Linked DNA regions of Coturnix japonica. The protein of the gene in region 1 interacts with the protein of each later gene in a pairwise test. Links are inferred from orthologs where the notes say so. Each region holds a gene or a part of one and is shown in the gene's direction. Other genes may lie near its edges.

What was found.
Region 2: the proteins of SH3YL1 (region 1) and SH3D19 interact in binary tests that used the Homo sapiens proteins (3 or more experiments, as listed by UniProt). The link is inferred for Coturnix japonica from reciprocal best matches to the Homo sapiens genes SH3YL1 and SH3D19.

What each region holds. Positions count from the first base shown.
Region 1 is NC_029518.1:83,919,746-83,924,201, reverse strand, and holds the start of SH3YL1 (SH3 domain-containing YSC84-like protein 1), read left to right. Parts: upstream 1-1,355; 5' UTR 1,356-1,410; coding exon 1,411-1,513; intron 1,514-4,456. Other genes in the region: ACP1 (low molecular weight phosphotyrosine protein phosphatase), read right to left, coding at 1,146-1,188.
Region 2 is NC_029519.1:29,300,404-29,304,221, reverse strand, and holds part of SH3D19 (SH3 domain-containing protein 19), read left to right. Parts: coding exon 1-68; intron 69-1,396; coding exon 1,397-1,513; 3' UTR 1,514-3,818. UniProt on the Homo sapiens protein: May play a role in regulating A disintegrin and metalloproteases (ADAMs) in the signaling of EGFR-ligand shedding. May be involved in suppression of Ras-induced cellular transformation and Ras-mediated activation of ELK1.

The sequences.
Region 1 (4,456 bases):
AACTTGATACAGTGCAAATCACCATCGTGGATGTAAAGACTCATACACAGATACATGATGAACACCATTGCCTTCCTATTACAAGAGAAAAACGTCCTATCAACCAGTGGTTTTGTAGCAAGACTGTCAAAACACCAAGGACTAACAGGGATCACCTCTCACCATGTCAGACTAAAACAACCAGCAGACAGACAAGGTTAAAACCACATGAGATCAGTGAGGCACACAGCTTGTCATCCCCACCAGGGAGCAGAAGCTTTGAGAATACACCAAACGGAGCACAGCCATACAGTCAGGTTAGCAATCGGCTGGCTGTGGGGGAGCAGAAATAACCACAGAATCACAGAATGACCTGGGTTGGAAGGATCATGTAGTTCCAACCCCCCTGCCTGGCAGGGCCACCAAACATACACCTTTACTAGATCAGGTTGCCCAGGGCCCTGTCCAACCTGGCCTTGAACACCTCCAAGGACGGGGCATCCACAACCTCCCTGGGCAGCCTGTTCCAGGGCCTAACCACTCTCCTAGTGAAGAACTTCCCCCTAACATCCAACCTAAATCTTCCCTCTTGTAACTTAAAACCATTTTCCCGTGTCCTGCTGTTGTCAGCCCTTTCGAAGAGTTTACTCCCCTCCTGGGTGTAAGTTCCCTTCAGGTATTGAAACCTGGAAACCAACCAAACTCTTTCTAATCCTGATTTCTAAGTGAAAACGCTTCCGTTTTCCTAACTTCTCATGAGGTGTAATCCACAACTTAAAAGCACGTGCATTTATTCACTTTAAAAGCGTGCTGCCTTCAGTTCTCCATGTAGGCATCTCTCCAGATGCCGGTCAGGCCCGCACCGCACAACCCCGGGCTGCTCTTCTTCCCCGATCTGCTCGCAGCACTGAGCACACACACAGCTCAATTTCCACACCAACTTCACACTTACCGACACCGCGTTTCACCCCTTATTCCCTACCGATGGTCCCTACCTACAGAGGCAGCGGCGTGCCCGTGGCAAGGGGCGGATGGCACCCGCTCCCAGCCAGGTTCAGCGACCGCTGCAGAGCCACGGCCGGGCGGCACAGGGACGGCATACCCCGCTCTCTGCCTGCTCCCCGGGGCCACCCCACCGGGCTCCTGCTGCCCCTGGTGCTGCTCACCCAGGCACACGAAGAGCACGGACTTTGCTTCCCCCGCCGCCATCTTCGCTCAGCCACGATAGCGCGACGCGGGCCTAATGCGCAGCCGCGCCGCCTGGCTTTACGGCTATAGGCGACCACGGGTTTTGCCTGTTTTAAGAAAACACAGCTGAGTCGAAAAAATAAATATATTAATAATAATAAGATAAATCAATTTTTATTGTTTTTTAAAGTTAAACCCTGAAAAACTACGCGGTGGTGATCACTGCGGGTAGGCAGGCGGTGGATGGCCGTCTCAGCCCCGCCCGCCTCACCTGGCGCAGGTGTGTGCCGCTCCGAGGGGCCGCCCCGGTGCTGGGCAGAGCGGGGCGAAGCCGGGGCCGGCAGCAGTGAGTATCCGTGGGGTCGGTGCCCATAGAGAGCCCATGGGATGGGTGCGGGGTCGGGAGGTGCCGGGTGGCCCTCAGGGTTGTGGCCGTCGATTGGGTGTCGAGGAGTTGGTGGTGTTTTTTGTTACGATTAAAGTGGTGAAGGATTGGAGCTGGCTGTCCAGAGGTGTCATTGTAGGTCTTCTATGTCTGAACTGCTCCCAAAGGTTTGACCTATTAGAGAAGGTACTGGGGAATCAGAATCACGACCTTCCATTATATAAAGGAGGGCTGTAAGAAAGAGGGGGTGAGGCTCTTTAGCAGGCTCTGTTGGGATAGGGCAAGGGGAAATGGTTTCAAACTAAAAGAGAGCAGATTTAGACTGGATGTAAGGAAAAAGAGTTTTACTGTAAGTGGTGAAACACTGGAGCAGGTTGCACAGAGAGGTGGTGGATGCCTTGTCTCTGGACACATCCACAATCAGGATGGACAGGGCTGTGAACAGCCTCACCTGGCTGTCGGTGTCCCCATTCACTGCGGGGGAGTTGGACTAGATTACTTTTATTGGGTCCCTTCTGATGTGAACTATGATTCTGTGCTTATAGGGAACAGAGATATATACAGAAAGGGGAAACAAGGGATAGGATGATCATAGGATGGCCTGGGTTGAAAAGGACCACAATGGTCATCTAGTTTCAACCCTCCTGCTATGTGCAGGGTCACTAGCCACTAGACCAGGCTGCCCAGAGCCAAATCTGGATGCTGTCCAGTTTGACTGTCAGTAGTGCCTTCTGCAGGAAATATCTGGAATGTATATTTTGTTAAGGTACCCAAATATATATATATATTTTTCTCCTGGATTGCTACTGTAACATATGGGGCAGTTGTGCAGTGCACATCCTGGGGGAAGGTGAGGGGCAGCTGTAGGCTACCAGGTGTTTGTTCCCTCTGTTCTTCTGTCCCTGGTGAGAAGTTAAACAGGATGGGGCTTGGGATTTTGTTCTTAAAAGCACAACTTTGTTTTAGTTAAAACTTTGTTGTGTAAAAGTTAGTGTGCTTGCTTAGCACCTTAGATTGCCTTGAAGTTTATTCTTAATTATTTAAAATAGGATTTGCAAAACTAAACTGCTATTCAGTTTAGGCCTTTCCTTTCTAGCATAGTGTGCAAAGTCTTGTGTTTAACATGAAGAGAAAAATGGCAGAGCTGAATTCCTAGCTCTGCTTTAGCTTTGGTTATGCTACTTACCTTGCTTGGTGGGCAGTGCCCAATCCCTCTGGTACTGACTGTTGACACATCAAACGTATTACAATAAGTGTGTTTGAAAGACTTGCAAACAGGGTTTCTGCTAGGCAGTTTCCTAAGGCTTGGATGGCACGGTGGATAAGCGTGGTGACGTTCCGCACAAAAGCCTGTGATTCTTGTTGCATTAATTCTTGGAAGATTTCACTTTTTAGTCTCAGACAGCCCCCAAAGTAACTCTACCTTTGGCACTTTTTGTGTCAGATATATATATATATATATATGTTGTGTCAATATAGCATTCCACTGTCTATATTCTTGAAAATGCAGATTTTTTACTGTCTTTGTATAAACTATCATTTCTTCATCACCTAAAAGGTGAATCTATTCATGTCTTGGGCTGCTTTAGCTTCATTTGAGGACAGTAGAATTGTTTTGTATATGTATGACTGGCCTTTAAGTTGGTGTTTAACACTTGGAACATAATTCTTTTTCTGGCCTTTTTCAGTGCCTGATCCTTCTGGATATTCTAAACTGAAAAGCTTGTTTTTGACTTGGTGTTGTAGTGCTCATGCAATGTCTCCAACTTTAGTGGCTAAAATTGATGATTTATTGATGCTAACTTTGCATGAGTACAACGTGTTCAGTGATGCTAAGAAGGGTGGGTTTTCTACTGTTGACGGATAATTTATTAGCCTCACATCAATCCTAAACTATAGTATTGAGGAATACTACAATGTACACAAGTGTTTTATAGAAGATGATAATTTATACAAACTTATTACTATCCACATACTGTGCATTTTCTTTCTATTCCAATGGTATATCTGTCTGGATGGCATTGCCTCATATTTCACATCTAAGCATTTACTCTGCTAAAACCACGTTATGAAACATAAACTCCCCTAGCAGCTTAGCTTTCTTCTGCTCCTGAGATGAGGAATAGACACCTTGACAGACCTGATGAGCAGTTGTCATGCTAATACATTTTGTTGCTTTTGCTTTCATTTTCCCTCTTGTATTTCTTGTCTGTTTGCCTTGAACGATTATTTGAAACATTAAATCTGTTTTGTTTTTAAAATGTTGGTCCAAGATCATCATGCATCTCAAATCTACAAACTTGAAGTAGCTTACTGTAACTGGTCACCCCATGCTGCGGGGTGACCTCATTGCAGCCTTTCAGTACCTGAAGGGAACTTATTTCCAGGAGGGGAGTAAACTCTTCGAAAGGGCTGATAATAGCAGGACAAGGGGCAATGGATTTAAGTTGAAAGAGGGTCGATTTAGGTTGGATGTTAGGGGGAAGTTCTTTACTAGGAGAGTGGTTAGGCCCTGGAACAGGCTGCCCAGGGAGGTTGTGGATGCCCCGTCCTTGGAGGTGTTCAAGACCAGGTTGGACGGGGCCCTGGGCAACCTGATCTAGTAAATGTGTATGTTTGGTGGCCCTGCCAGGCAGGGGGGTTGGAACTACATGATCCTTGAGGTCCCTTCCAACCTGGGTCATTCTATGATTCTATGATCTTTGTTCCAATTACGCACTTTTAGGAACACACTGAATGCCATCTAGCAAATTAGAAAGCTTTTGTATTGACTGTGTTTACTGTAAATAGCTTTTTCAAATGCAGCGAGACCTGTATTACTTGTGAGATAATCATACATTGAGTTTATTGGTAGGTGTGTTGATTTCTTCCCCCTGCCCTTTGCAGTTATGCTTTCTCCTGATG
Region 2 (3,818 bases), on another chromosome or scaffold:
GGAAGAAAGGGAAAGCTAAAGCTCTCTATGATTTTCATGGTGAAAATGAAGATGAGCTTTCCTTCAAAGTAAGTGGCTCTTATATTTATTTTTTTTTTTAGTTTGTCAGCAGATCTTATGCTCCTAAGGAATGCTTAAAGAAAAAAATTATCCAAAACAAGTTTGGGACATGAAAGTACTCAGATAATAGACGTGATTATTTTAACATATTTGATATAGAGCAACTGTAGAAAGTTTTCATCCCTACCCTTTGTGAAATCTCTACTGAAGGCACAGAGAAGAAGTCAGAAACTGTAGACTTTCACTGACATCCCTAATCCAGTAAGTATGATCAGACCAACTCACCTCATTTCGTAGTACATTCAGTTCCTGATCAGTTAATAATGTCAAAAGAGCCTCTTTTTTGACAGGAAAGACAGCAACATGGTGGTGTGATAATAAAGTGGCAGCATTACAGCAGGGATATCTTTAACAGAGACCTAGTGCAGCAAAATCTAAAAGTCAGTCTAAAAGTTTGGCAGCATGATCCTTAGTTGCTGTGTGAGGAATATGAAGTATTTGCTGTATGTCTAGATAATATGAAAAAGCACAAAGAAATGGAGTCCTTGTAGATTAAAAACCATCACATTTAAGTAAATGTCCTCAAAAGCAAGTTTCTAAGAACCGGCAGACAGTTGCATCGGGTCCAAGATTGCATTTATCAGGTGGAACACGTTACTTTGTGAACTTTAGAAAGAGAAAATAATTAGTTTCTGCATTAGCAGCTTGCCTTATGGGAAGGATGTGGATGATTCTTTAAAACAGAAAAGAGGAACTGAGGTACTGGCAGAAAGGCTAGAGCTATGCCAATACTTTGAATGAAGGGTATGGTATGGGAAGATGAAAGCAGGACTAAGGATTAAACATAGAAGATAAACTTTATTTTCAAGGCCACGCTGAGCTTCAAGTACATTCCTTTTTTGAGAAAGTTTCCAAAGGAAAGAGGGAAGTTTACAAGCTGTGGAAAATACTGGGACTAAACTGAAAGAAAATACTTGAGGTGTTTGAAGAAGAAAAGTCCTCATACCAGAGCAGGAACGTGAACAGTGAGTGAGGCAGCAACCTTTAGGCTACCTCTGTGACACACCTACCTACCTACAGGGCTCAAGCAACTGAGGAAGTTATCCAGCAGCACTATTTTTTCCCTCCCACAAACTGGTGGCTTTTCAACCCTTGGCAAGTATTTACCCTAAGAGACAGTTAGATTTCTTTGAAACTATGTTTACCTGACAGGAGCGATCATCTCCAACTACCATGCTATTTGATTGCTATTAATTGCTTCTGAATAACATGAACAGTGCATGCCATAATATTACATGGAAAGCTGCAATGGCTCACATTACTCCTTCTTTTACAGGCAGGAGATTTTATAACAGAGCTGGAATCTGTAGACGAGGACTGGATGAGTGGAGAGATACAAGGAAGAACTGGGATATTTCCCAAAAACTTTGTTCAGATTTTAACAACTCCATGAAGTGTTGCCTGTCTTTGTACTCCCTGTGTCTGGGAGAGAACGTTTTCAGCAAAGACATCAATGTATTCTGACTATCTATGTTTTGCACTACTTATCCTGGACAGTCTTACTAGTATCTTGAAGTCAAAAAAGATTTTAGTCTTTTGTGACCATGTAGTTAGTCATGCTTCAGGAAAAGCTCTGAGAGCAAAATACATGCGCAATTTTTAGTGGTCTCCAGCTAGGGAAATAGTGTGGTGCAACACCAGTGAAATAGTATTCTGTTTACTATCTGGTATTACATTTATCATGCACAGCCTCTGCATAAAGTAAGCTTATTTGAGCTTCCTTAAGAACTGTTTAAAGTGATGTTTTTAATATATTATTGCAGCAGTCGGTATGTAGATCAAGTTCAATATTCAGGTTTCTTTACTGCTTCTACTTTAGCAGAAGAATTCACTTATGACTTAGATAACTTATAGTAGAAAAATGTCAAATTAAACTGTTAAGAGGGAAAACTCAAGCAAATCCTTGCGTTCTTAGCCCAAGCAGCTCATGAAGAGAAATCAGAAAAGACATAAGTATTTTTCCTCTTAACTAATAGCACTTACTTACACTGGTTTGAACCATGCTAGACCTTTCCGCCCACCTCAAAAATCTGTTCCAGACAGAGCCTTAGTTTTCCTACTACCCCCTTTGTCAAGCACCACCCTACCCTTCTTTCCCAGGAGGAGTTGTGATGGACAGCAGTTACTCAACTTTCTCAGTTCCCCTCCCAGTGTAGCTGTACTATTTCAACTATTTGCCCCTCCACCCCCTTTTATGTAAGTGGAAAGCCTGTCTTCACTCAGTCTACATTTCATTTACCACTCAAGCACTGGAACATACTTCAGTAACGCTATTCCTATCCCTAACTCGAAGGATATTATACAGGCTTGGTTTTGGCTTTCAGCAGGCACAGGGTTAGCTTTCAGGTTGTTAGCACGTACCAGCTATACCAAGCATCATTATAAATGGTCTGTCACAGCCTTAAGGAAAAAAAAATGTCTTGCAATAGGTTACTTCAAAGAAACTCAAACAAAATCATTTAGTAAAAGCAGCAGCTTGACTTGAGCAACAGCATCTGACTGTGACTGAGGTAGCCTGGACCTTCTGGCAGTAAATGCCATTTTGTGACACTTTGTTTCTGACAGAGTTGTTAAATGAGTCTTGATTAGCAGCTAACTTCAGACTGGAGGAGTAAGAAATGTCACTGCAGTGCTGACAATATTCTATCCCTTTTGTACTGTATGGGGAAAAAAGAAGAAACCATGAAGTTGTTACTGCGAGTCATTGCTTCAGAAGCATGGATGCACAGGTACCACAACATAATACAAGATCGTTCTATCTTAAAGTTCTAGTTGATAGAACACTTGCAGCTGAGCAGTTGATGAAGAGTGTGCAAACTAGAATAATCAAGACTTACCTTGAGATAGTTCAGCTTACTTTTGTTTTGGCTTACAGTTCTGTTGGTAGGAGGTCCAACCATTATGGCAACAAGTACCTACTGGTGCAAAAAGATCACACAAAGCTTTAATGAGCTACAAACTGGATTTTTAATTGCGTTATAGGGATTAACTTTATAAAAACCATTACAATGTATGCACTATCCTAGAAAGATGGAAACATCACTGTACAGCTGTTATTCAGTTTAAACATCCCAACAAGCCTGTCCTGAACCGCTGGGGAATTCAACTGAAGTCCACTCCTGAGGACAACTGTCCCTGAGCTCTGCTGCCCGGAGCTGCCCATGGCTCTTTATAGACATTAGCCAGCCCCTGCATTCTATGGGACTCTGGCAAAGCAAATACAAAATATTTCTAACTTTTCAACTTAAACTGTGGGCCACCCTCTTTAAACAGGCTGCTTCCATTATGACCTGTACTGAGAGATCTTGTGGGCTCATGAGGAGAACAACAAAAACCAAACACAACCACTCCAACAAACAGAATACCAGATCTTCAGAAATTACACAATCACTGTGGTGGGAGGAGGAGCTTAAGTGTATAATGTTTACTTATGTTTTGCCTGTTGGTTTTCTAAGGTTTTGATACAAGTCTCCAATTAGAACTGAATTTTTATAATTTTTTTCCTCTCCCACATTTTTATAACTGTACTATTGACCAGTTGTTGTTTTTCTACCTTCCACTGAATGTTTTAAATCAGTGCCTGTCAGTAGGTTAAGTTCACTCTTACATTATTCATCTCCTCCCACTCGCTGGGAAGGAAAAGCAGCAGAGCCTTAAAAGTCTGGGCAAGGAGCGCCACCTATAAGCTGCTCACGTTA